2 linked regions of the Cricetulus griseus genome follow. The main gene of each other region encodes a partner of the protein of the gene in region 2 in a complex. Links are inferred from orthologs where the notes say so. Each region holds a gene or a part of one and is shown on either strand. Other genes may lie near its edges.

Region 1 (16,210 bases), on a different chromosome or scaffold from region 2:
TTGGATGAAGGTGAGTGAAGACTAGATATTGAAAAAGTCTGGAAGTTGCCAGGCATGCACCCCTTTAATCCCAGCACTCAGGAGGCAGAAGCAGGCGGATCTCTGTGAGCTCAAGGCCAGCCTGGTCTACAAGTGCTCCTTCCAGGACAGCCTTTAAAGTGACAGAGAAAACCTGTCTCAAAAAAAACAAAAAACAAAAAAGAAAGAGTCTGGAAGTAGGACATTGCTTTACAATAGAGACAGTGAGACAAAGGGAAAACTGGTTTATCAATTGTGATGTAACAAAGGAAGTCAGAGGGACCTTTTATTGGTAGACAAAAAGGACAGTAAAATGCTGTGCAAGTATTCTTGACTTGAGACTATTTCAACGCAATGGGGAAAACAAATATGGACTACAGTACAAAGTTGTGTAGAAATTTCTGCGGAGTGGCTGGAATAAGCGCTCAAGAGGCTGAGATAGGAAGAGCCTGAGTTCAAAGCTAGACTGGGCTGTGCTGTGAGCTCCCCTGTCAACAACAAAAAAGAGGGGGCTCGGTGGCTAGGAATGCTGTGTGGGGGTATGCGCATGTGGGTTTAGGTAATTAGGGATGCCAGAGGTCAGACTCCCTGGAGATGGACTCAGAGGATTACACAGGCACTAAGGACCAAACTTTGGATCATCTGAAAGAGCAGGAAGCCCTCCAAACTGCTGCCATCTCTCCAGCTCCAACACAAAACCAAGTATCTATACTCTCAACTCTCCTGTAGTTTTCATCCTTTTTTATTTTTATTTTATTTATTTTTAGTTTTTTGAGACAGGGTTTCTCTATGGCTTTGGAGGCTGTCCTGGAACTAGCTCTTGCAGACCAGGCTGGTCTCGAACTCACAGAAACCCACCTACCTCTGCCTCCGGAGTGCTGGGATCAAAGGCGAGCATCACCACCGCCAGACTTCATTCTTTTTGGTGTGTGTGTGTGTGTGTGTGGTTTTAACAGGAGCTCATGTAACTCATGCTGCTGTGCTGGCTGGCCTGATTCCCTCTGTAGCTAAAGATCTTCCTACCTCCACCTCCCCAGTGCTGGGATTAGAATTACAGGCCAGGGCCACCAATCTTAGCCTCTCTGCTTTTGCTCCAGCACAGGGCCATTCTCAAGAGGCCTCAAACAGCTAACTTCAGCAATAAGAAGGGACATTATTTCAGGTGCTGGGAGACTTTTGCCTGTTGTCTGACAGGTTATATACTTAGTACCCAAAGAGTCCAAAAGCGGGTCATCTAGAGGCCTAACTGGTGGATATAATGCTTGCTGACTAGACAAGAAAGGGAAGGCAGAGGCCCCTGACAATACATCTACTGAGACCACTGGGGCATGTCACCCCATGAAAGCCTCTCCAGTGACTGGGGCCCAATTTTCATGCCATCCCCTCTCTCGGCTCCCCAAGTTCTGTGGAGCCACCCACTCTTCTGTCCTCCCTCTTTCCTGTTCAGATAAAGGCAGAGGATATCCTGTATGGCTGGTGTTACCCATACGATGCTTCAAGGTGAGTACAGGAACCATGAAGCCTGAAACTTTGGTACCAGGGCTGCCTCATTACCACAAGATACATTGAGCTTAGCTAACTGACCATGTCTACAAACTACCCAGGTCAAAGCACCAGCCAATCCTGGCTCATTTGGAAATAACCTCTTAGGAAAAGACTGAGTTGGGGGAAGGATCTAGAAAGATAAATGGCTGTGCTTGGGAATCCTTGATTCTTACTCCTGGAGCTAACAGGGGAAACTTTTTGTGGCAAGGAATGCTGACACAGGTGGGGCCAACCAACACCGCTTTTCTTTCCCCCATGCCCTTGAGTGTGGCCTGCATGTATTTCTGTTCACCACTTTCATGCCTGTGGCCACAGAGGCCAGAAGAGAGCATTAGATCCCCCAGAACTGGAGTTTGTTTTTGAGTGGCCGTGAAATTGTTGGGAACTGAACCTGGGTACTCTACAAGACAAAGCAAGTACTGCTAAGTTCTGAGACATCTTCCCATCCCTCACAATACTCCCCTGGCTCACTAGGCTGAGACAGAGCTCTCCCATCATCCTGCATAGTTTTATGTCAACTGGACACAATCTGGAGTCATCCCGGAAAACTCTCAGTTTATGCCTCCGTAAGATTTCCTGTAGGCGGGCTGGAGAGATGGCTCAGCAGTTAAGAGCACTGACTGTTCTTCCTGAGTTCAATTCCCAGCAACCACATGGTGGCTCACAACCGCCTTGAATGAGATCTGGTGCCCTCTGCTGGTCATGCAGGCAGAAGACTGTATACATAATAAATAAAATCTTTAAAAAAAAAAAAAAAAAAAAAAAAAGATTTCCTGTAGGCAAGTCTGTAGTGCGTTTTCTTAATTAGGGATTGATGTGGGAGAGCCCAGCCCATGTGGGTGGTGTCAGCCATGGGCAGGTGATCATGGAGTGATGTATAAAAAGCTAAGCCACGGAGAGTAAAGCAGTAAGTAGCACTCCTCCGTGGTCTCTGTATCAGCTCCTGGCTTCCCAGGGTATCTGCTCAAGTTGGTTTGGTCCTGGTGAGTTTCTCCAGAGAGACATGGTTTCTCTGTATTGCTTTGGAGCCTATCCTGGCACTCACTCTGTAGACCAGGCTGGCCTCAAACTCACAGAGATCCACCTGCCTCTGCCTACCGAGTGCTGAGATTAAAGGCATCTGCAGTCCTGTAACAGCAAAAGAAACCCTGAGACAGTCACAGCAGTCCTTGAAGTCACCAAACACACTCCTTGTAGTTCCCAGAGGCTGCCACTCAGCAAGTTTTCCAGGGAATCCATGAGAATGGAACCCAGCTCTTTTTTGACCTATGGGAATCTCCAGCGGCCATTCCTAGTACTTCTGTTTCTGCCCTAGACATTGGGAAAAGTGGAGTCCGCTGTTTTGAATCCCCATTCCCCCCCACACACACCTTGTGCTAAATGTTTGGAAACATGAGCTGAAAATGTTCAAACAAGAATGGCAAATGGAGGCTGGGCGTTGGTGGCACACGCCTTTAATCCCAGCACTCGGGAGGCAGAGGCAGGTGGATCTCTGTGAGTTCGAGCCCATCCTGGTCTCCAGAGCAAGTGCCAGGATAGGCTCCAAAGCTACACAGAGAAACCCTGTCTCGGAAAAAAAAAAAAAAAGAATGGCAAATGGGGGAATGGAGAGATGGCTCAGAGGTTAATGCCCTGACTGCCCTTCCAAAGGACCTGAGTTCAATTCCCAGCAACCACATGATGGCTCACAACCACCTGTAATGAGATCTGGTTTCCTCTTCTGGTGTGCAGATATATATATGGAAGCAAAATGTATACATAATAAAATCTTTAAAAAAAAAAAAAGGCTTAAATGGCAAATGTTGTTACCTGCAAGAAAGAAAGGAAGGGAACATCATTCCCCCTGCAGCAGCCAAGAGCTCTTGAACTTTGCTTCTGTCTTCCCTGGGGCAGGTAGGACCTAGCCATCACCATTAAAACCCTACCCAGGAACCCTGCAGCTCAGAGGCTTTCCGGATACTTCTAGAGCCCAGTGCGCTTGGCTTCTGGACAGAGCAGCACTGAGTTACTCCTTGGAAACCTTTTCTGAGCTGTTATTCTACTCAGGTGTCTTGAAGGTGTCTTGAGTTGTTTTGAGTTCAAAATCTGGTTGCAATCAGCATAATGGCCGAGAAACAACTGGGCTTAAAAGGGCTTTGCAGCTGTTAATTTACATGGAAAATGTAGCAGAAGTGTGTATGTGTAGTTGGTCAATTTGTTTAGCAAACCCATTTCAGCATGTGTGATAGCCTGTGTCCTTCCTTCTCTGTCCTTTGTATCATCCTTCAGACCCGTTATATTGTCTTACTTGTTCCTCAACAAGTTTTTTGGTCAAATAAAATCTTTGTACATGCTCAAACAAAAAGAGGGTCTGGCAGGATGGCTCTGCAGTGAAGAGCTTGCCTCCTTAGCTTGATGACCAAATATGAGCCCAAGAGCACATAGAAGGTATGAGGAAAGAGGAAACCAACTACAGAGCTGCTCTCAGACTTCTGCACAGGTTTGTGGCCTAGGCAAACTCCTCACTCCACACACAGCACACATAAAGCAGAAAGAGCAAATGGAAGGGCAGACACAGCTAGGCCTGCATCATGGAATTGTTGCTTTTGTCCATATCTTATCCTGGTGCTGCTGTCCCAGCTCTGGGAGCTGAGTCAGGTGTTTGCATTCAAAGCATCCAGTTTAGGTGCTTGGCATAAAGCTAATATGTAACTAACATGGATCTTCAGAAGTGAAGAAGAGAACGATAGAGCACTCTTTGGTTTTTCCAGACAGGGTTTCTCAGTGTAGACTTTGCTGTCCTGGAGCTCACTCTGTAGACCAGGCTGGCCTCCAACTCAAAGATCCACAGAGATCTGCCTACCTACCTCTACCTCCAATGTGCTGGGACTAAAGGCATGTGCCACCACCACCCAGCCAGAGTTTCTCTTTGTAACCCTAGCTGTTTGGAACTCACTCTGTAGACCCGGCTGGCCTTGAACTCACAGAGATCCACCTGTCTCTGCTTCCCGAGTGCTGAGATTAAAAGCATGTACCAACTTGGCCCAGCCTCACTCTACTTAAATATCCTCAGGGTAGAACAGGCATGGTGATGCACACTTCTCATCCCAGTCTGGGGTGGTGGAATCTGGAGGATCAGGAACGTAAAGTCATTCTTTGCCATATATCAATTATATTAAGTTCCAGAGTGGATATGTTTCAATCCAGCATCCCCATCTAGGCTGTGGGAGACTAACAGAATGAGGCTGGGATACAGCTAGTAGGTATAGCACTTGCTAAAACTCAAGGAACCAAGTTTGTTTTCCAGCACTGACTTAAAAAGCAGGGCATCCATGTCCTACCTAGATCATAGTGTTGAAGCCCGGCGTTGGTGGCACACGCCTTTAATCCCAGCACTCAGGAGGCAGAGGCAGGCGGATCTCTGAGTTTGAGAGCAGCCTGGTCTCCAAGAGCTAGTTCCAGAACAGGATCCAAAGCTACAGAGAGAAACCCTGTCTGGAAAAACAAACAAAAAAACCTTTGGGTTACCACAACAAAATAACACAAAGTAGGTGGCTTAAACAGAAATTCATCTTTAATTCCAATATGAAGTTGTTGGTTACTAGGTTTGTGTCTGGGCTTGAACTCAGATCTGCTTGCCTCTGCTTCCAAGGTTACAGGCCTGTGTCCCCAAGCCAGGCCTCATGTACTTTCTGTACCAGGAATCCCACTTCCTTAAAGTGGTGACAGGAAGGGTAGGTGTGGTCCTACAGACTGACCATCACAGTGTCATGGTCCATGAAGAACGTATGTATCATATCCCAGACATCAGGATGTTGTGACAAAGACTTATCCTAGGGTGACACAGAACAGTCTACTCACCGAAGTAAGGGAACCCACAACAGACCAAAGTTATTACTGCATCCAAATCCTGACTGGTGAACCAATGACTTTAATTGGAGTTACAGGAGTCTGGGTGAGGGTGGCTTACAGGAGCAGTGGTGACTCAAAAGCATCTGCAGCATGGCTACCCAACATGGATGACAAGAAAGCTGCAACCTGGAGCTCTTACTACAACTCCTAGGAGTGGCTTGATAGGTTCAAGGACTACTCTTGGCAACTCGGCAGGCCAGCCTGCCCCCTCCCTCCAGCAGCTACAGATGATTGGCCTAAAGGGGTGTTTCAACAGACTGAGATTGTTAGAGATGCAAATCCCCAGGAATCCCTGGGACATTGTTTTGAGGACTCCCAAAGTGAATTCTTGCACACCTTAAATCAGTGGTTCTCAACCTTCCTGATGCTGCAACCCTTTAATACAGAGTTCATGTTGTGTTGACCTCCAACCATAAAATGATTTTGTTGCTACTTCGTAATTAATTTTGCTACAGTTAAGAGTCTAAACATATCTGATGTTGCAAATTATCTGATATTCAACCCCCAAAGAGGTTTCCACGCACAGGTTGAGAACCACTGCCTTAAATCAACTAAGTAATTGGGACTCCTGTAGAACAGGAGGATTGTGGGGGTCAGAGGGGTCAAAGACACAAAACCCACAGAATCAACTAACCTGGGCTCATAGGGGCTCAGAGACTGAACAGACAATCAGGGAGCCTGCACGGAACTGACCTGGGCACTGCAGAGGGACCATGTATGTTACTGTTGTGCAGCTTGGTCTTCTTATACACTCCCAAGAGTGCGAGCAGGGCTTGTCTCTGACTTGTGTCCACTTTTGGGACCGTATTGCTTATACTGGGTTGCCTCATCCAGCCTTCAACTTGATATGCCATGTTTGATTGGTATCCATGGGAGGCCTGCCCTTCTCTGAAGAGAAACTGAGGAGTGCATGGGAAGTGGGGTAGGGAAGAGGGGAAGGAGGAGAACAGCCAGCAGGTTGTTTAAAAAAAAAATCAGCCAGGTAAAAAGTACAAAGGGGGGGGGGCTGGAGAGATGCTCAGCAGTTAAGAGCACTGGCTATTCTTCCAGAGGTCCTGAGTTCAATTCCCAGCAAACCACATGGTGGCTCACAACCACCTTGAATGAGATCTGGTGCCCTCTGCTGGTCATGCAGGCAGAAGACTGTATACATAATAAATAAAAATCTTAAAATTTAAAAAAAAAAAAAGTACAAAGGGGTCTGGCAGTGGTGGCACACGCCTTTAATCCTAGCACTCGGGAGACACAGGCAGGTGGATCTCTGCAAGGCCAGCCTGGTCTACAAATCAGAGTGCCAGGACTGTTAAACAGAGAAATCCTGTCCTGAGGGGTGGGGTGTGTACAAAGGGGTTGGGGGCTGGGGAAGATATAGCTCAGTTGTTAAGAGCACTGAGAGGACCTGGGTTCAAGTCCCAGCATCCACATGGCAACTCACGCCTGTCTGTAACTCCACCTCTCCCACAGACATACCTACAGGCAAAATACCACTGCACTTAATAAAGTTATCCTCGAGGGCCTGACTGAAGTTGTGTATTAGAAATTGCAGGAGTACAACCTATACACACCTCACATCAACTGATAGCTATGATGCTTTTAAATTTATTGTATGTGATGAAAAAAGTCATTTCTACATTGTAGAATAGTTCTACAAACTGCTATTTGCAAAGGAAAACCAACAGGTATCCACAAAGGCAAGAAAGAAAACAAGTATAGTGACTATAAGAATCTGTCATGTTGCTCTTCACCTCCAGGGGCTGAAGTCGGGCTGCCTGTCAGTCAGCAGGTGCCTTCTGCACTGGCTCAGGCAGGTTGTTTGAGTTGGAGGGAGAGGACTTCAATAATTCCTCACGTTCTTTCATCTTCATAGCTGAAAGAGGGACAACACTACCAGTCAAGAGGGGAAATGGAATCTACTCCCCCTGATTGGGAAGGGAGGCGGCTCTGGTCCTGGACCTGGAATCTGGGAAGAGTGATACCTAAGGTGATGGCCCCGGGTGTATCCAGCCTGTGCTTTCATTCTCAAGGGTCTCCTCCGAAAGGGATCCCCAGGGACACTACGGTTGCCTGGTGTTTGGAAACTTGAAGTTGTGAGAAAGTTTCCAGAAGCTGGGAATCGTCCTGTGGCTTCAAAGGGTCTTCAAAGGCCCTTACCTCTTACAATGTGGCGGTTTTCTTTGTGCCATGCTACCAGGTTCAAGAGAATGATTTTCAATCGATTCTTTACGGCGGGTCGTCCAAAAATGGTGATTTCAGCTAAGTTGCCAGAGTCAACTATGTCCATTGTCACCAAAGCCTGGCTTATCCACTCTAATTCGGGGAGTAAGGATTGGTTTGGGCCTAAAAAGGTAGAAGAGTCTGATCAGTAAGTAGAACGACTTCGCGGGGGAAGGGGCAGGCTCTGATGGACTTGATGGAATACTGGGCTGGGGAATGAGGTATGGACTTGCTGCCCCTATAGAATACAGGGAGCTAACCCAGACCCCTAGAGGCTCACCAAAGATTACGTCTGCCAGCCAGGACTCTATGTACAGCACGAGAGGATCGCTGAGTTCCTGCTCTGGGAACCACCAGGGCCGCACGTGAAGCCGCGGTAACACAGAAGGGGTGCTGAGCTGCTTCTTAGAAGGACGGTTCCGCGTTGGACTCTTCTGCTCCGCGTGATCTTCAGTAGCATTGGGTTCCATACTGGGACTCTCAGACTGCAATCACGAGATACTACGGTGCGGGGCTAACAGCCGAGATTTTCAATGTGCGGTCCGGCCACGCCCCTTGTGTGCCACGCCCCCAGTCAGAGCGAGTAACAGCTGGGGCCATGGCTGAGGGGGCGGGGTTGTCGGGTCTTCAGACTGTCAGCATCCTAGCCCTGCCCAGTATACTGCTGGCTCTGAAAATTTAATTTGGTGACTTGACTTAACTCAACTCCAGTGGTCTAGTTAATTCCGTGTTACTTTCAAAGATCCATATGGGCTCCAGGGCGAGCTAGGAGGGTTTGTAGAATGCCCCCTCACCCCCGCTGTGTCCTGTCTTCTCCAGCTCTGAACTGTGGTTGCCTTTAGAAGTCTTTTATGCAATTGTGCCATGTTTTAAACTAAATGGCAGAAGTGGTTACTGAAACACATAACAAGTTTGACTAATTTCATTTATTTCTAAGTTCCTAAGTCATGTATGCATGAATTTCTTCTTTCAGTCTAAACTGCTATTTTCTCTGTAGGTATCTTCTGGTTAAGGTTAAAAAAATCATTTTTAACCGTAATACAATGATACCTGGCAAGGTTTGTATGTCTTGCTGATTCCTAGAGGAATCCTCTCTGTCCTGAGCTCCACTCTGCTTCTGTTAGCAGTGCTGACAAGTCTACCTGACCACTGGAAACTTGGAACACTGGGGTCCCTATTGGGCATGAGGTAGAGATGTCATTGAAGCTCCCATAGGTACATACATTCACTTGAGCTAGTCTCCTGAGATGCTCCCAGCTGAGGCTACTTCACAAACATAGACCAAGCCCATATGTACCTTGTCTCTGTAGTTTCAGACTCCCACAGGGAGCTGGGACTAGCTACCATGTTGTTTGTGGGAATCAGTTTTGTGAAGATGTGAGGAAGATAAGAACCCTGGTCATCCTCATTCGGATGACAGTTGCGTTGTGATTTCCTTTTGTTTTGGAGGCAGAGTTTTTGGAATCTTAGTTTCCCAAATATTTATTACTGCATATTACTCGATAAGCCCATGCCAGCCTCCAAAGATTTAAAATGCTTTTACTGTTTAACAGGAGCTGCTGAGTCAGGTGTGCCACCATTTTACCTCCAGGTGTCTTGGTTTGAGAGTGATTAAGAGGCAGGTGGAGGTCATGTGATTATTGTGCCCTCATTTTCCCTGTAGCCTAATGTATGCTCCTTGTACCCAACCCAAACTGAGCAACTACAACCAAGACTTCCAACAATTTCATTTTCCCTGTCATCCCTGGAAGGAACCAGTATAAATGCATTTCAGTTCAGGCACCAGATTATTATGAGAGACATCATTCTATTTTCTCTAAATTTTACTCTTTGCTTTTTCTGAGACAGGGTTTCTCTGTGTAGTCCTGGTTGTCCTGGAACTTGCTCTGAAGACCAGGCTGGGCTCCAACTTGAGATCTGCTTGCCTCTGCCTCCTGAGTGCTAGGATTAAAGGCATGCACCACCACACCTAGCTAGTAATTCATATTTATATAATTTCTTTTAGTTTCACTTATTTTTTTGTACATTGGTGTTTTGCCTGCACGTGTGTCTGTTGGTTCCCCTGGAACAGGAGTTACAGTTGTGAGCCACTATGTGGGTGCTAGGAATTGAACCTGGGTCATCTAGAAGAGCAGGTAGTGCTCTTAACTGCTAAACCATCTCTCCAGTTCCTAATTCATATTTCTTAATTACCTACAATTTCTTAATTACAAAATGAGGTGTTTCATTTTGAACTTTTTACATCTGTACAGCATGTACTTTGCTCTTTCATGTAGTTTATAATGGTCGATAGATGTCTTGGTAGGGATACTGCCATGGAGCAATCAATTTTGTTCTCTGTTAGATGATGTCTGGCTGTGCTTTGAGGGGATCTGGAGCAGAAGTGGGTAACAGAAGTAGCACACAGCCATCAGAGGCCTAGAATTCCTATTGACTTAAAAGCATAGCCAAGTATTCAGCAGAGTGTTGAGAAGGTCACATGGCTTAGAACCTGACCACAGCCTCTGAAAACCTGATAGTCAGAAACTACCTTTGTGTTATGAAACTGAAGGGACTGTGTCCTTTCAGGGCCACATTGTGGCTACTTACAGCCATGATACTTTCTCCCCTAAATGATACCCACTTTAGGGTCTCATCATGATTGTTTATGGCCATGAGTCTCCTAATATCATTCCTCCAGAGGCTAGTTTGTCTTGGCTTTACTTTTCTATGCATTCTGGAATTTTCTAACATTCTGTTCCTGCTCACGGCCAGGCCTTGGTTAGGGAGTAACTGGCCCTTAGAGGTGCAGTTCAGAGGTTACCTCCCATGGAACCCTTCTTCATCTATACCCCTACTGGTCTTCCCTGAGAGCCCCTAGGTCTAGAAGCACTGCATGATGGCCTTGTCATAGCTGTATTACACCCATTTTGCTCACAGCAAAAAATATTAGCAGAAATTAATCAAGAGATGGGTGAATTAAGGATGACTTCCCCTTTCCTCAGTCCACTGCTAGCTATTCTAATAATTATCTTATTCTTGCTTATATTATTTGACTAGCTAAAAGTTGATGCACTCAGGGGCTTGAGAGATGGTTCAGGGGTTAAGAGCACTGACTGTTCTTCCAGAAGTTCTGAGTTCAATTCCCAGCAACCACATGGTAGCTCACAACCATCTGTAATGTGATCTGGTGCACTGTATACATAATAAATAAATAAATAAATAAATCTTAAAAAAAAAAGAGTTGATGCATTCAATCTTGGCATCTATTATGGCCACTATTTTTCTTTTTAAAAATTAGAAGTGAGAAAATGTTGGGGGCCCAGAGGTCCTTGTGCTCACAGAGAAGCCCTAAGAGAACCAGGAATGCAGGGGTGTCTCCTCAGTGGAGAAGACAAAAATCAAATACCTGCATTCCATCCAGAAAGCTGAGGAGTGGATTTTGTTAATGACTTGGTGACCTTGCTATCTGTGGTGGCAGACCTCACCCAAATCCCCCAGAATGATTATTTGAGACTCTTCCCTCATGTACTTCATGGCTGCTGACCTCTATGCTATCTGTCAGAGACCACACTAGATTCTAGGCCTTTTAGCTAGAGAACAACCCCTCATGGCCACATGGTCTCTATGCAGTCATACCTTAAGCTTTATTGTGTACCTGGAATTGGACTGATTGTTGCCTGAAAACCTTTTCCAAAATTGCACCGAGTCTTAAATATGCTGACAATTGTTGGGTCCTAGACCCTACAGGGTCTCTGTGAGTTGCTTGTCAGCCAATAACCACAGGTGCATCCTGTGTTCTAGTCCTGGCTTACAGCCCCAGCCTTGCCCCACTACACCTGAGAAAACACGAGCTCTTCTTCCAGGAGCTCTTTTGTTTTGTTTTGTTTTGTTTTTTGAGACAGGGTTTCTCTGTGTAGCTTTGGAGCCTATCCTGGCACTCGCTCTGGAGACCAGGCTGGCCTCAAACTCACAGAGATCCACCTGCCTCTGCCTCCCGAGTGCTGGGATTAAAGGCGTGCGACACAAACGCCTGGCTCCAGGAGCTCTTATATCTTGGGTTTTTCCATTGTGCTGTAAGTGTATATAAGGCTGCTCTCTCCCTAGAAAATGGGCAGATGAATGAAGATGGAAAGACACACATAGCACAAGTGGCTGGACATCTCTGTGTTTAACTAAATCTCCAGGTTTTGCCCAATACTCGGACTTAGTTGTGGCTCGGGTGCCACAGACAATGAACTGCCTGGTGTTAGACTCCTTGAAGTCTGATCCAGGTTGATGAAGTCAGTCTGCACGGGGTTCTCATTCTTATCTCTTCCTACAGTTCCCTTCACTGTATGACACATGCAGGAACCCACTTACTTAGGGAATAGGGTATATATAATATCAACAGAAGTCACCTACTCTTACGTGTGGTGCTGAACTTGAATAAGCCCACTTGCCTACCTAGGAACAGTCAGACATCTCAGTACAGATTGTAAATTCACCATCTGTGACACACTGCTGTCATGGTTATATGATTGCGTATATTCATGCCACAGTGCACTTTACAGACAGCTTGGAGTGAACACTGACCACAGCAGTCAGACTGGTACATTTGTTGGAATAGGACTGGGGTATGGGGAATTGCTGTACAAACAGAGGTATGATTATACTAGCCAGAGTCCAGTCCCTTCTTCTGTTCTGCTCAATAGCTGTCAAAATATCTCATTTAAATATTTGCTTTTGAGCCGGGCAGTAGTGGTACATGCCTTTAATCCCGGCACTCAGGAGGCAGAGGCAGGTGGATCTCTGTGAGTTCAAAGCCAGCCTGGTCTACAGAGAGTTCCAAGACAGGCTCCAAAGCTACAGAGAAACCCTGTCTCAAAACACAGCCCCCCCAAAAATTGTTTTTAATATTATATACAGTATAATGTTGGCTTATGCTATAACTTATGCATTTGCTGCTTTTATAAAGCATTTTACTTTTAAAACTTAATATATATTTATCAACCCTTTTTGCTCGTTTAGCATTTTTGCTGCTGTTTGATTTTTGAGCCAGTGTCTTACTTTGTAGCTCTGGCCAGCCTGGAACTCATTGGCAGGCCAAGCTAGCCTCCAACTCACAGATATCCTCTTGCCTCTGCCTCCTGAGTGAGTCCTGGGATTAAAAATGTGTGCCAACACTCTGGCCATGTTTACTGATTCTTAGTAGGCTGCCACCTTCAAGCCTGTTTTTTGTTTGTTTGTTTGTTTGTTTTTCTTTTTGAAATAGGGTTTCTCTGTGTGACTTTAGAGTCTCTTTAGAGTCTGTTGTCCTGGAATGAGCTCTGTAGACCAGGCTGGACTCAAACTCACAGAGATCTGTCTGCCACTACCAATGCTCGGCTTCTCCTTAGGGTTTTAAAGAAGTCACATATAAGCATTGCATTGCTCATGATTATGTTATCATGTGTACTAAACTATTTCACCAACTTTTATACATGGGACCAGTTCCTAGGGCATGATTCCAAGCACCACAAATAACAAGCACCATGGATATAAGCACTGTGGATAACAAGCACCTCAGATAACAAACACTGCAGATAGCATTGCGGATAACATTTCTGCAGATAACTACTGCTATCCACAGTACTTGCTATCCTCTGTGCATGTTATCCACTGCCACTCCCTTTACAGCCCATTTTCTTTCAAATCACCACAAAAAAGAATCTGTGAACTGACCAGAAAGCTCAAAGTATAGTTGTGTTTTATTCTACTTGAATGATCGTGCCTCTGTGGAAATCTCTTCTCATGTTTGTGATTCATGGAACAGTGGAGAGTACTTTGTTTTGAGACATGGTATTTCTGCCTTGCCTCTCCTGAACTCACTATGTAGACCAGGCTAGCCTTGAACTCACTGAGCTCTGTCTGTCTCTGCTGGGATTAAAGATGTGCACCACCATGCCCAGCAGTGGAGGCTCTTTTCAATGGAAGTAACAGTTCCTAGGTACATATGAACCATACACTGGATGAGTTGAAGTATATAAAATTCATGAAAAGTATGTTTGCCAGGGTATTTGAGAAAGTGGTTGAGAACAACTACTGTGTACAAGTAGGAATATTTCCTAAAAAAAAACATGTAACCTTATACTACATCACACACACATTCAGAACCACGAGGGGCACAAGAACTCTGCATTCTTCAAGTACACAACCTTTCATAGACTCAAGGTGAGTGCATTTCCTGCCAACAACTGGAGAACTTGACGATACAACTTTGCCTAGAGAATCAATTTTGTTTTTCAACACATTGACTATCCTTTCCCTTCCAGGAACATACAAGTAAGTGTCCCTTCAAAGATTCAGTAAGGGTGCCACACCCAGCACCTACATTTTCCCCCACCAAGGAATTCTAGCATACTCACAATTTGATATTCTTCCCAGGGCTCCTGCAATCACAGAAACAGAGACATTAGAAGGACCGTGTCACCCAAATTAGTGACATATGGTTTGGTTTCTCTTCCTCAACACTGAGTAGATAGGAGAAACCTTGGCAATAGAAGAGGCGTTGGTGGTGCACGCCTTTAATCCCAGCACTCGGGAGGCAGAGGCAGGCGGATCTCTGTGAGTTCGAGACCAGCCTGGTCTCCAGAGCGAGTGCCAGGATAGGCTCCAAAGCTCAACAGAGAAACCCTGTCTCAAAAAGCCAAAAAAAAACAAGGCTCAGGAAATAAGGATAGGATATTTCACTAGAAAATCCTATTAGGACATCTACTACATAATGCTGAATACTAGGAAGAGATATTGTATACAAGGAGGAGCAGGCCTACCATATACTGTGTAGCCCTTTGCATGCTGCCCTTTGCAAATGCCCTTGTGCTTAAGGTACCAGTTGCTAAGGGTCTGTTCATTTTTCTTTTTTCTTTTCTTTTTTTTTTTTTTTAAGATTTATTTATTATGTACACAGTCTTCTGTCTGCTTGTCAGCCTGTAGGCCAGAAGAGGGCACCAGATCTCATTACAGATAGTTGTAAGCCAACATGTGAATGCTGGGAATTGACCTCAGGACCTCTGGAAAAGCAGCCAGTGCTCTTAACTTCTGAGCCATCTCTCCAGCTCTTTTACTGTTCAAGAAAACAGACTCAAGTATCTATAATGAATGTTGTCATGTTTGCATATTCAAACTCAGCCAGAAATAGCAGGGGGGAGGGGGAGAAAGGGAGGGAGACAGAGAGAGAGAGAGAGAGAGAGAGAGAGAGAGAGAGCAGGATTTCTGCTTCAGACAGTGAAAGTTGATCATACCTGTTCACAGGCTATAAACTCTTCCTCTTGAATAAAAATTTCTTTTAAATATGACTTTCCTGGGAACCTGGAAGTCACAGAGCAAGAGAGAATCATGGATGCTGTGACTCATGATATTCTCTGAAAGCAGTGCTTGCTTAGCTCACACATCAGGCTGCTGTGTGTGGCTGTGCTCTACAACCTAGGCTGTGTAACTTACGGAGTTTTCTCAGTGAAAGCAGAGACCCAGTGAGGAACATGAAAGGAAGGGAAAACTGAGCACTTGATAATTGCCATCCAGCTGCCACCAGTACCCCATCATTCATAATGATCACTTTAAGCCTAATAGATGATGAACTAACCCAGAACTAATCTGAGTTACAATTCATGCCATGTAGTCTCGAATACAAATTCTCAAGGTTACCTGCTCACAAACCATGGACCAGCAATACTCAAAGTATTATGTTTCATGGAGTGACATTGGTGAGCATGAGAAAATAGACTGCCACCAGTTTTGCCCTCTGCAGTGCATCTTAGATGCTCTAGGCTTCTGAAAATTAACCAAAGCATATATAATAACACAGGAGGCGTTATTCAAGACAATTTTACTTTTAAATTCATCTTAAAATTCTGGCATTGAATTTCTACTGGCAAACTGTGAATTGAGAACCAAAAATAGTTTTAAATTCTTCTAAACCTCTCCCTAGTTTTGCATATAGCATTGATGATAATTATAACGGCTGTTCATAATTTATCCTTATTGTTGGATTTGCACAGTACCTTTAGGTATTTTGTTCAATTTTGGTTGCTTCTTTGCTGAAGTTTCACTGGTGCCCTGTTGGGACTTGGCACGCCTCCAGCAAAAATGTCCCAAAATTGCAGACACTGGGAACATAGTCACGACAGAGAAAGTCATGGCAGCTTCATGGCAGGAAAACAGAGTGGAACTGATAACTGCCCTGACAAACATTTGCTCTCATGACTCCCTTCAAGTACAGCTTTATAATTCAGAATGGGGTTCAGGAAGATCAAGGATTCAGTTTCCACTTGACACACATTACACAGACTGTGACAGTAAGAGCTAAATGTATGAGGCCTGATGGCCAGCATCCAAATCTACTTAGAGCCACGTGAACGCAGTCCAGTTCCTGCACTCCCTCTGTTGTCAGTTCTTTGCATTAGGGCACCAAAAAATTCCACAAGGCCTGCCTATAAACATTCTGAATATAAAAAACCAAAATGTGAGGTCTTTAGAGAAAGGTTGGCTACTTCAGAACTGTTCTAGAGTGTCTAGTAAGTGCTCAGCTTTGAGGCTCGGCAGC
Region 2 (12,546 bases):
GATAGTTCAGGGAGTGAGGCTGGGGGCGATAAAAGCAAGGGGGATGGGGAAGCCACGAGCTGTTAGGAATAAAGAATGGGCTGGGACCGCAGGTAGCAGGTTTCCCGGTCCCAAGGCGGGCAACGGACAGTGGGCTGATGGGGAAACAGACCTGTAGGTAGACGTGACTCACATTTAAAGTTTTATTAACGGGGAGGTAAGAAAATAAGATAAAGAGTCAGATAGGACAGAAGAGGGAGACAGGAAAAGTCCTGTCTGCCCCAGGGAACAAGGGAAAGAGAGCGAAAGAGAGCCTGAGTGGGCGGAGGTCTCTCTAAGTACCCAAGGAACCCTGGGCTGACCAGGCACTGCCTGAGTGTATTCTGCCAGGTGACAGGGCAGGCCAGCATAATACCTGAGTCCTTACAGAAGCTACTGAGAGCTGCCTGGGATATCACAACCTGCTTGTAGTGGCTGACCCGACGCACCTGTCAATCATTCCCTCAATGACTAGAGCCCAGCCCCTGGCTCTTCACCCTTGCACCTGAGGCCTGATTAGTCCCCTCGCTCTTCCAACTAAGCTTTCCAGAACTCCTACTGCTCACCGGGTGGAGTCAAGGCCCAGAATTTCCTGCAGCCCCCCAAGCTCTGCCTGGCCCCTGCCTGCCACTCACACAGCAGCCTTTGCAGAGCGGCTGTTCCTCCTCCTGCCTGGACACCGTCCCTCTCCCAAACAAGAGCATCCCTTCTGCCCCTGCTGACCTACTCAGTGCGTCTTCTTGGGCACCCTGAGCTGTAGCCGACCCCCTAAGCGCCTGCCCAGGAGCTCTTGGCATCCACCCACCGTCCCCGCTTCGGTCCCCAGTCCTAGAGCTCTTCCCCTGGCATCTCTGCTGGCCCGGCCAATGGTGGCTGAGCACTGTGAATGAACAGTCGTGTTCTGGCGGCTTCCTGCCCACCCCTCCCCGCTGCCCACCCCCTACGCCCGCCCCTCACTGAGCTGCAGTCCTGGCCCTGGCTCCCTGCCAGTGACATCTGGCCCCGAGCAGCGCCTCCTTCCTGCCAGTGCCCTTGAGAAGGGGCCAGGTGGCAGGAGAGGCGGTGAATGAGGACACACGTGCCTTGGCTTGGGCAGGGGGTGGGGGTGGGAGAGAAGAGCCCGGCACCCCTTCGAAGGCCCGCCTGCCCCTCATGCATAGGACCTGTGTGCAGCCCTTACCCAGAAGCTCCAGGGCACGTGGCACCCGGGCAGGAAAAATGGGCCACAGCTAGACCCGAGGTCTCTATATAAATCAACTTCCTCCCACCTCCCTGGAATCAAAGACGCCATATATTCCTATCTCCACCCCTCCCCCTGGGAGAGAAGGTGTCCCCAACTCACCTGCTTTTGGTGTTCTTCGAAGGACTGATTGACCTTGGACACCTAAAATCACAGCAGACCCTGAGCAAACTGCTTCCCCTCTCTGATCCTAACAGGGGCTCCTGGAGCCCAGCCTGGCCTCCAACACACTATAGCAGAGGCCCGTCCTTCTGCCTCCAGCTCCTCATCCTGGGATGACAGGTGTGCACCTTCCAGCTGCTCATCTCCACTTTTAAATGAAATACTTTTATTTAAAATACTTTAAACTACTACTTACTATATTGTTTTCAATGGGAAATCAAAGCCCAACTTTTTCTTGCAGCCGTCAAGGCCCTCCTGCTCCTCTGCCAGCCTCCCTGCTGCCCACATCCCCCCCTCCTGTCATAGCTATGCCCCTCAGCTGCCGGCCACCAGGGTGGCTTACCAGGCTGGAGAGGTTGTCTAGCTGGGCCATCATCTCAGAGAGGATGCTGAGGGGGAGAAGCAGTTGAGGATCCTTCTAGAAAAAGTCCCTGCATCTGCCCTAGGGCAGAACCCACAAGGTGAGTCGCCTAATCTATAAATGGAGGGGAAGGTGCCATCCAGAACTCTTAAGCGTGACAGGGTTTTGCACCTGCAAGACAGGGCTTTGCCCCTGCTTATTTGGTCATAGGCTTTGGTGGCAGGCCTGGAACTTGCCACCCTTCCATCTCAGCCTGCACGACTACAAAAGTCAACACCCTGGCTTAAAAACAAGCCAAAAGGAACACTTCACTGGAAACCAGCCCCAGGAAAGCCAGCCTCACCTGTTGAGCTTCTCTGGCAGCTGTTCAATGATGCAGGAGTACCTCTTTGAGTAGTTGGAAGGCTGGAACGGTCAGAGGTCAGAACCAAAAAGCCTGCAGCACCAACTCCCAGACACCTCCCAAGGTGGCCGGTCAGGTCCAGCTTCTCCAAGTCCCTGAACTCCTGGGGTACGGACTAGCTATGCAGGAGCCATGGTAGAACCTTGTAGTCTAGACCCTGGTTCACAACCTTCCTGATGCTTCCAACAGCACTCTGCGTGTTGTGGTGACCCCCATGTTGCTACTTCACAACTAACTCTGTTACTGTTAGGAATCGGAATGCAAATAGCTGATATGCTCGATAACGGATATGTGACCCCAAGCGGGTAGCAAGCTACACGTTGAGACTCTACCCTGGCTGGAGCCAACCCAGTTATGGTTACAGACTTGTGCTTAGCATGTCCTTGACCTTCAGAGAAGGGAGACCAGGCTGGCCTCGAACTCGGAACTCTGCCTGCCTCTGCCTCCCAAGTGCTGGGATTAAGGATGACTTTAATCACAATATAGTGTTAACAGATGGAAGGCAGGCTCAGCGTGGTGGGCGGGGCTCTACCCAGCCACGCCCCCAGCCCTCCGGGGCGGATTCTAGGTGGGGCTGCACCTGTGGCCACGCCCCACGGGCGGGCCCTCACCGTGCCCTGGGCCAGGTGAAGCCCCGCGCTAGTGGCCCGTGAGGGACATTGGGGAAGCCTGGCCCGGTCTTCCCGAGTTGCTTTCACCTGCACGCTGGGTCCAGGTGCAGGGCTGTCCCAGAGCGGGGTCTGCGGCGGGCGAGCGGGCGCCGGGCCAGGCTGGGACCACCCGCGCCCTCCGCGCGTCTCACCAGAGTTCCAGCGACACCGCTGGCGCCGCTGCGCTGACTGCAGGAAGTCATCTGGGGTTCTGGAGGTCACGGTGTGCGCTGGGGAGTCCTGCGGGGGGCAGGCTCGGGGTGGGGCAGAGCGGCCGGCCGGAGGAGCCGCCCTGTCCCCGCGTGCAGCGGGCCCCAGAGCACGAGCAGAGGCGCCAGGCGTGCACGTGTGTGTGTGTCTTATATGCACGCACGCACGCACACGCAGACACCGAGTGCACAGGGAAAACACGTTTAAAGACATGAGCAGAAGAGAGGAACGGCATTTGGTTCATAGCCCCGTCGCCCCCGCAGCCCGCGCAAACTGCCTACCGGAAGCGAGCGGCCCCCACGCACTGCCTCAGGACCGGGAGGCCCCGGGACCCCTGAGGCGGCGGAGGTCAGCCAAGTTCAGGCCTGCAGGAAGCCCCTCCTGCTGGGCCCTGCGCCATTTGACCCCTCGGCCCGGCCCCGCCCTGCCCCGCCCCACCCCGCGCCCCCGAGGGAAGCCCGTGGGCCCCGGGCACCGCGCACGTGGGCTCGCGGCGGCTGCAGCAGCCCCTGCAGGCGTTGGCCAATCAGAAGGCCGCAGCCCCACGTGGGCCTCAGATCCGGGCTGCTGATTGCTCAGCCTGTGGCTCAGCTGTCAATCACCGAAGGCCAGGGGTGCGGGGGAGACTGCGGCCAAGCCCTGTGAATCCTAGTTCGATCCCGGGACCCTCATATTGGAAGGTGAACGCGCGCGTGTGCGTGCACACACCACACACACACACACACACACACACTATACACACCACACATAGACACACCACACATAGACACACCACACCACACATACCACACACCACACACACACACCACACATACCACACACCACACATAGACACACACACACACGACACATACCACACACACACACACACACACACTATACACACCACACATAGACACACCACACATACACACCACACCACACATACCACACACCACACACACACACCACACATACCACACACCACACACATACACACCTGGAATGATTTTCTTTTTAATCTGGGTGAGCTGGAGAGAATCTTCCGCAGTTGAGAGCACAGGCTGCTCTTTCAGTGGACCCTGGTTCGATTCCTCACACCCACATGGTGGCTCACAGTGGTGTGTCACTCCTGTTGCGGGGGATCCAAAGATCTCTTCTGGCCTTATGGTGCACACACATACATGCAGGGAAAACATACGTACACATAAAGTAAAATGCAAAAAGATTAATTGAAAGCTGGGTGTTGGTGGCACACGCCTTTAATCCCAGCACTCGGGAGGCAGAGGCAGGCGGATCTCTGTGAGTTCGAGGCCAGCCTGGTCTACAGAGCGAGTGCCAGGGCAGCCTCCAAAGCTACACAGAGAAACCCTGTCTCAACCCTCTGCCCCCCCCCAAATTAGTGGATGTGTGCACATGTGCCTGGTGCCCTTAGAAGCCAGAAGAGGGTGTCGGATCCCGTGTAACCAGAGCCGCCAATGTGAGTGCTGGGACTCGAACCCGGGTCCTCTGCAAGAGCAGCTAGTGCTGGTAACCGCTGAGCTAGCTCTCCAGCCCTGTATAGGTGAATGTTTTTCTTTTTCCCCTGGTCCTGATCTTGCCCAGGGCTTTTGCACAGTCCTCACGCCATCGTTATCCGCGTCAGCCGAGACTGTCACTGCAGCGGGGCGGGGCCGTAACATCTCCGTTCCCAGGGCTGGCGGCTGCCCTGGGCCCCCAAGCTGACGGGAAGGGGGCTCTGTCGCGACATCTGGCGGTCGTGCCTAGTATGACACCCTGACCACTTTACACTGGCGTGTAAAATATTTCTGTAAAAATGGTCCTTGTGTGGCGCTGACATCACCCCTGTCTGAACAAGTCTCGCCTTCTTTGTGGGGTGGGGGTGGGGTGGGGTGGGGTGGGGCCGCACTTTCCGTCCTGGCACGCAGGAGGCAGAGCCAGCAGGATCTCCGTGAGTGCAGGTCCAGCCTGGGCTAGAGGCAGAGCCTATCTCAGAACACCAATAGTATTACGAGGTAAACAATACATGTAAATAAATAGTAAAAAGTAAAACAATAAATCCCAGCACTCGGGAGGCAGAGGCAGGAGACCTGCGAGCTCTCAGAGATCCGCCCCGAGTGCTGGGCCAAAGGCGCGCGGCGCGTCACCACTGCCCAGCATTAACGACAGACTTTCTAAAAGTCCCCTTTGTCTTTGTTTTCAGTCATAGAGAGCCGGGGTGCTGCACATGCTGTTCATTGCATGTGATGACCTCGTTTACTGTATGCAGTTTCTCCTGCTGATTGTATCCGTTTGGTGGGCCGGTGCACGCGAGTGCAGCTTCGGGCGAGGTCACAGGAGGGCGTTGCAGACCGCGCTGGCGTCCAGTGGGCGTGAGCATGCGGTGTTTCTCTGGGTCCCCTGAGGAGCCGCCAGGGCCCCTCAGCGCCACTCGGTGTGCAGGCCCGGCGCCCGCTCGCCCGCCCGCCCGCTCGCCCTGCTGCTTCTTACACTGTTTGTATTTCACGACTGACTGACGTGATCTGCAGTGCTGCTGTGTTCATGTTGTACTGTGTTTTCCCCAACTTTCATTTGCTTGTTGCAGTTGTGGAGAGGGTGTCTGCGGCCCGGCTGTCCCGGGACTCGCTCTGCAGACAGCCCCGCCCCACCGCAGCCCGCGTTATGTTATTCCGTGTTAAAATTCATGCATGTGAGAATGCAGGGGGATCACTGTGGCTGCGCTCCGGGAAGACAGGCGGGGCGAGGGGCGGGAGGTAGAGGCAGGTGGATCTCTGTGAGTTCCAGGACAGCCTGGTCTACAGAGGGAAACCTTGTCTCTCTCTCTCTCACACACATATATACACATACACACACATACATGCACACACACACACAAAACCAAAAAAAAAAAAAAAAAAAAAACTAAAAAAAAAATAAAGGAAAAAAAAAGCCAGTCAGGAGGAATAGTTCCCTCTGTTGGTCATACTGTGCGCTTTCCGGGGAACTTAGTACCATGACGGAGTGTTCTCTGTGTGTGTCTGTGTATGGTGTGTATGTGTATGTATATGTGTATATATATATATGTGTATGTGTGTGTTTGTGTGTATATGTGTGTGTATGTGTACATATGTGTGTATATATATGTGTGTTTGTGTATGTGTGTATATATATATGTATATGTGTGTATGTGTATATATATGTGTGTATATGTGTGTATGTGTGTGTATATGTGTATATATGTGTATATGTGTGTGTGTATATATATGTGTATGTGTTTGTGTATATATATGTGTGTGTATATATGTGTGTATGTGTATATATATATGTATATATGTGTGTGTGTGTTTGTGTGTGTGTGTTTTGAGGACGTGTGTGGGCACGGCAGCCACAGAGGCCATGAGGGGCGTCAGAGGGGCTCGAACTCGGGCCTACGGCTGGGCTGCAAGCCGCCCCGCCCTCCCCACGCCGCCCGCCCCGCCCTCCGCCCTCCCCACGCCGCCCCGCCCCCGCCCTCCCCACGCCGGCCCTGCGGCGCTCAATATGACCGCTGCGCTAGGGAGCGACCACGCCCTGGGGGCGGTGCCAAGGCTAAGCCCCGCCCATCCCGCTATTTGACTTCGGATGGGCTCTGACAGCGTCAGCAGCCAATCGCGCTCGAGCAGAGACGGGCCCTGCCGGCTGGGGACCGGCTACTGGAGAATTGCATGGTCCTGCCCACCTTTCATAGTTCACCAATCACAGAGCCTCTTTACTCCTGGCTTCCTTGTCCAGGGAAAGCGGCCGGAAATTCTTTGGATCAGAAACCGGAAGTTGACTGGAACTGGACCAGGCTGCTCGGTCCGGAAACGGAAGTACGTTGCGGTACAGTGGGGCTCAGTCTCTGAGGCAGCTGGTCTTCCCCTCTGACTAACGTGCCTCGCGTCGGTGTCCGGCGACGCCGCCGCCCAGACGTCAAAGGTCGGCGACCGACGTCACGGTGCAGGGGCTGTTTCCATGGGAACGAGATGAGCGGCTGCGCGTGCGCGGCTGCGGGGGCGTCGGGGCGGGCGGAGGCCTGGCGTGTGCGCCGTCAGCCCCGACCCCTCCCCGGGGCAGATCCCGCTGCCCCCTGCCACACGGGGTCAGTGCGCGCCTGGACTGCCGTTTCCGCAGCTGCGGATGAACTGCAGATGGAGAACCTTGAGTCAGGTTAACCCACAGCAGGGCGCCCCTCACTCCCTCCCGGTTGTTTCCAGAGGGCCGGATCGTGCGGACAGCAGCGTCTCAGGGCTCCTGTCACTGTCACAAAACACCAGGACAAAAGCAGGTGGGGAGCAGAGGGCTGATGAGGCTTGCACGGCCACATCGCCGTTGGTCACCAAACAGCACAGGAGTGAGCACAGGCCGTGGAGCCAGCTGGCTCCCACGCTCTTATAGAACCTGCAGCCACATTGATCACTAATTAGAAAACGCCTTACGTCTGGATCTCATGGAGGCGTCTCCTCAGCTACGGCCCTCTGATGACTCTAGCTTGGGTCAACTTGACACAAAACCAGCCCGCACTGAATGAATTAATCTCTTGATGGGTTAAAAGTGTAGTATCTGGAGGCATGGCATGTTGCATACACCCTTAACCCCAGGACTCGAGAGACAGAGGCAGGTGGATGTAGGTAAATTCGAGGCTGGCCTGGTCTCCATAGTGGGTTCCAGGCCAGCCAGGGTTATGTAGAGAGACTGTCTGAAAACACAAACGGTGTGTGTGTGTCTTCCAGGACTGGACTCAGGTCAGCCAGCAGGCTTGCTGGGAAGTGTCTGAGCACCCGGCCACCTGCTCCACCCAGTCCATACAAATGTGTACACAGAGGATTTTCATTTTTGTTTGTTTTTTGAGACAGGGTTTCTCCGTGTAGCCCTGACTGTCCTGGAACTCGCTCTGTAGACCAGGCTGGTCCCAAACTCAGAGATCTGCCTGCCTCTGCCACCATGCCCCAGCCAAGGAAGTATTTTGTGTGTATGGTATCAGCGTCACATATGTGAAGGGCAATTCATTTGAATTTCCTATCAGGCCACAGATGCCAGATTAATATCGTTCATGGCTGTGGAGGAACATGCAAAGGCAACACTTGTATACCAGGCATATACAAAGTGCTGAGGTGTCTTAGCAGGTGAAGGTGATTACCACGTATGCCTGGCAACCTGAGTTTGACCCTTGGAATCCTTGTAAATGTGAAAGAATGTCCCTCACATAACCATGATGCCCTGACAAGATTTAAAAACAGACACCAAGACTGAAAGTGGACTCAGTCTGTGAGTGTCATCAGCAGGCATCAATCTGTGGGCTGTGTGAAGTAGCTCACAGATACTACAAAGCTCAGTGGAAGGGGTAAACTAAACTAAAAGGCTTCACTTCTAACAATTTAAAAATAAAGGGACCAGATCCTCACTCAGCCCCTGCTTTAGCAGCCATGACAGGCTACAGAAAAGACACGTAGGCCTCTGACACAAGGAAACTCCGGATCCTCTGGCCTCCTGGAGCTTAGGGACAAAACTAAACATAAACTCCAGACCCACCCCCCACCCCCACCCCTGGCCCCAGCCTCCTAGGTACTTGGTTCCTGGGAACTGTTTGGCCACAAAAGAAACTCCAGGGGAGACTGAAACCTCCCCTATAGTCTCCAGGACACAGTTCTAAAAACTACTGGTATCTATGAACAATAGGCCACCTGCAAGTAACAAGACAAAGCCATAGATAGAAACCACAGAATGTTCCCTCTCAGCACTGATCAATGAGAATACCTAGTACACAGGAATTTCATGCCAAAATATGACTTTGAGAAATTCTCCTCATTGTTCCCAAATGTCAGCCAATCAGAAACCAACCCGTACCTACTGATGCAATCCTGTAACTTTTGTCTTTAAAACCTAGCAGTAGACAGGGAGCTTCACCCCCTCTGGAGGCTGCTGTGTCAGCTTGCTAGACAGGTCCCTGTCAAGGTTGGATGAACAAGTTAATAAACCTTGTGCATTTGCTATTTTGCTTTGAGCCAATACCCTCAGATGCAGACTGATGTTGAGAGGAGTAGTGTCAAGATTCTGGGAAAACATCAGAAAAACATACAGACTCCTAGTAGGACAAAGATTCTGGAATGTACAAAATGTGGGACTGTTTTCTCCTGTTCCTCCTCCTCTATGGAACACACGAAAAGTCACAGAGGAGAGAAAAGTCATGCATGTGGGGAAACCTTCATCTTCTATTCCTGTCTTAAAAGACACATGGGGACGAACAACGGAGAGCCACCCTGTGAGTGTACAGTGTGGGAAGCACATGAGACCACACAGGGAGGGTCAGCCCTATCTGTGCAGCAGGCATGGGGAAGCATATTGTTCTTCCTTGTCCCATCATGCACACGTGAGGACACATACTGGGGAAAGACCCTATGAGTGCAAGCAGTGTAGGAAAGCCTTCATGTCTATCCCTTTGAGGTCATATGAAAATCCATGCTAGCCGGGCATTGGTGGCACACACCTTTAATCCCAGCACTCGGGAGGCAGAGGAAGGCAGATCTCTGTGAGTTCGAGACCAGCCTGGTCTCCAGAGCAAGTTCCAGGATAGGCTCCAAAGCCACAGAGAAACCCTGTCTTGAAAAACCAAAAAAAAAAAAAAAAAAAAAAAAAAAAGGAAATCTAGACAGAATCTTTAAGGGGCCATTGGTGGAGTATGGCTCTGTGGTGGGGTGTTGGACAAGCATAGCCCAGGTTCTTGGGCTCAGCCTACACAGAAAGAGCATCATGGATGTGGAAAGCACCCTCTGGTAAGTGGAGAAAAGCACACTGGTGAGAACCTTCACTTACTTGGACGACCTGGGAAAACCTTAGCTGTGACACCTAATCGATTTTCTTTGTGAGACCTCAGAGGAGGGAGAAATCCCTCACCAGCTCCCTGAAGAAGGATCCCACTGTGTTGCCTAAGACTCAAACTTCAGAGGAACTCCCACCCCAATCTCTGTCTCTCACATGTGTGCACAAAATACGCCTGGCCTTCTCTATTTCTAAAAAGTTAATTTTCTTTTTTTTTTTTTTTGTGTGTGTGTGTGTGCGTGCACATGCGTGTGTGTACGTGTGTGTGTGTGTGTGTGTGTGTGTGTGTGTGTGTGATTGTACAAGTGGGTGCATGGTCTTTGGAGGTGGGTGGTGTCAGATACCACAGATGTGGTACAAACCCCCCAGTGTGACTGCTGGGAACAATATAGGTCTTCTACCAGAGCAGTGTGCATCCTTTACCCCCGGACCATCTCTCCAGCTCCTCTTTTTGGTTAGTAATATGGCAATACCTTCATTTTCTTGTCTTCCTTTGTTTAGGGGGTGTTGGGAATCAAATCCAGGGCCTGGCACATATGCTAGATGAGTACTCTGCCACAAGCCTAGCCCAAGCCCAGCCTTGTTTTCACCTTCCAAGTGCCTCAGTCATAGAGTCACAGGGCTCTAATATTTTATTATGCTTCTGATAAAAATTTTAATAAACATCCTGTTTTGTACTATGTCAGCTATATTGTATTTACTTTGGAGTTTGTTCTGTAATGAGAAGTGTGTGTTGCTGGAGACAAGCTTTTTGTTTGTTTTGTTTTTCGAGACAGGGTTTCTCTGTATAGCTTTGGAGGCTGTCCTGGCACTTGCTCTGCAGACCAGGCTGGTCTCGAACTCTCAGAGCTCCGCCTGCCTCTGCCTCCTGAGTGCTGGGATTAAAGGCGTGTGCCACCACCACCTGGCTGGTGACCAGGGTTTAAATACCTTGTGGTCTTGATCAGCTCTGGGGAGAAGCTGTCCCTTGGAGGGCTTTCTCAGGGCGACGGGTCTGGAGTGGGAGGAGGGAAACCAGAACAGAGATTCCCAACATCCCATCAAGTGTGGCTATTTCTTATTGGCAAGGGATGGTGTGGAGAGGGGGGAGGTGGGCTCATGCTCACTGGGCAGTGTGAATGAATAAGCATTTAGTTAGCTGCCATCATGGAGAACTCAGGCATCTGTTCCTTGAGGAGGCAGAAAGCAGGTTGCTAGAGAAAATATAGATCATTAACAGCAGCCCTATGAATTCAGCTAGCAATGGGAAGAGTGATAACTGCCAGAAAGAGGGAAATGGAGGTGTGCTGTGGTTGTACAAAAGAGACGGGTGAATGAGCGAGACGTGAGAGCAGATATGCCTTTCATTGGGACATCTTGGAAAGCCAGGTCCCCGTTGCTGGATAGATGCCTGCTTGAGCCTGGAGAAGTGGTACCAGCATTGATGTCCCAGGAGCTTGGGGGATGATGGAGGGATGATGTGTTCCAGGAGCCATCTTATCTGCTGTTTCTCTGGAGGTGGGAAATGCCTCCATGCATAGCTTGAAGATGGGTGGGGTCAAAGAGGAGCACTAGAGACTGGTATTGGCTTCCACTGGACCAGATTTCCTGATACATAGCAGGGACATCTAAGTACCTGTGAAACAGCTGGGGCAGGCTTACACTGTGGTGTCATGTCATGGCAAAGACTATATGGCTTTGGGTTGAATGGCATGAACATTTTTCCTAGGGTCTGGTTTAAGCCTGATGAAACACACCTTTAAGTCTATACTTAGGGGACAACCAGAGGAGATTTACTGACCAAAAGAGGTTGAGCGAATGAAGGAGGAGAGAATTGAACACACCTACAAGGGTTCCATTTCCTCTTTAATGCTAACCTGTCTCTAAAAGCTGGGACCAATAAAATCCACAGAAATTTAAGGATTCCAGAAGACTTTGTAGTCATGCTCTATCAGTTTATTAAAATTGTATCTATCAATGCTAAAACTCTGAACCTCTGAAGTTACATCTGTTCCATAGGAAACCATGTCAGTGAAAGACCCCCGAAGAGGTACTTTTGTAGAGGGAGACCCACACCCAGGAATCAGTGAGGCCACGAACTGGATGCAAAAAACAAGAGGCTTTATTGGAGACGCGGGTACCCGGGGCGACTTAGCTTTTCTGAGGCCAAGCGCCCCGAGCCAAGGGAAAGGGGTTCTTATATAGGGAAAAAGGCGCAAGCTAGGAGCAGGGATTCTATTGGATGGTTCAAATGAGGCACAGAGCCATTCCAGATCAGCATATTCTCAAGGTCTGGTGTCTGGTACAACAGACTCAATTCCCCTCCCTTCAGCGTCCAGATGGCTGACCTTGGGGGCGGAGACCTTGGGACGGAGTGTTTCTCATCGGGCGGGGCTCAGGGGCAGGGCTCCAGGCCGGCTCACTTGGTGTTCGTTCTCGTGCCGGCCCACCTGGTGCTCGTTGCTCGGCCCCAGCCCCGGGGCGCGGCGCCAGGCGGGCGGGCGTGCCTGGGTGCCTGGGTCGCCCCTCCTGGGTGAACCTGCTTGGGAGGGAGCCAGCTGCCAGGCGTGTGGGTGCGCGCGCGTACGGGAGTGTCACCGAGAGAGAGAACGAGCCAAGGGGCGGGGTCTTTCATCAGATAACCAGCTTAAAAATCACATTGCATGCTGGGTGGGGGTGGTGTATGTCAGCAATCAGGAGGCAGAGACAGGAAGATCTCTGTGAGTTC

What was found.
Region 1: the proteins of Tle6 (region 2) and Ooep are in contact, whole or in part, in a cryo-EM structure (PDB 8H94), measured with the Mus musculus proteins. The link is inferred for Cricetulus griseus from reciprocal best matches to the Homo sapiens genes TLE6 and OOEP. Residues at the interface, in NP_444484.1 of Mus musculus: Trp256, Ser258, Phe304, Thr305, Arg306, His307, Val318, Asn320, Val322, Asn323, Glu332, Ser333, Asn354, Ser355, Arg356, Leu373, Ala374, Ala375, Pro376, Ser377, Leu378; in NP_080756.1 of Mus musculus: Arg32, Pro33, Trp34, Trp35, Pro37, Gln39, Glu40, Glu67, Trp70, Met71, Gln73, Gln94, Pro95.

What each region holds. Positions count from the first base shown.
Region 1 is NC_048597.1:189,440,082-189,456,291, forward strand, and holds Ooep (oocyte-expressed protein homolog), read right to left. Parts: upstream 8,329-16,210; 5' UTR 8,139-8,328; coding exon 7,949-8,138; intron 7,792-7,948; coding exon 7,606-7,791; intron 7,322-7,605; coding exon 7,227-7,321; downstream 1-7,226. UniProt on the Homo sapiens protein: Component of the subcortical maternal complex (SCMC), a multiprotein complex that plays a key role in early embryonic development.
Region 2 is NC_048598.1:102,347,399-102,359,944, forward strand, and holds the start of Tle6 (transducin-like enhancer protein 6), read right to left. Parts: upstream 3,218-12,546; 5' UTR 3,038-3,217; coding exon 2,987-3,037; intron 2,187-2,986; coding exon 2,125-2,186; intron 1,810-2,124; coding exon 1,764-1,809; intron 1,403-1,763; coding exon 1,361-1,402; intron 1-1,360. UniProt on the Homo sapiens protein: Component of the subcortical maternal complex (SCMC), a multiprotein complex that plays a key role in early embryonic development.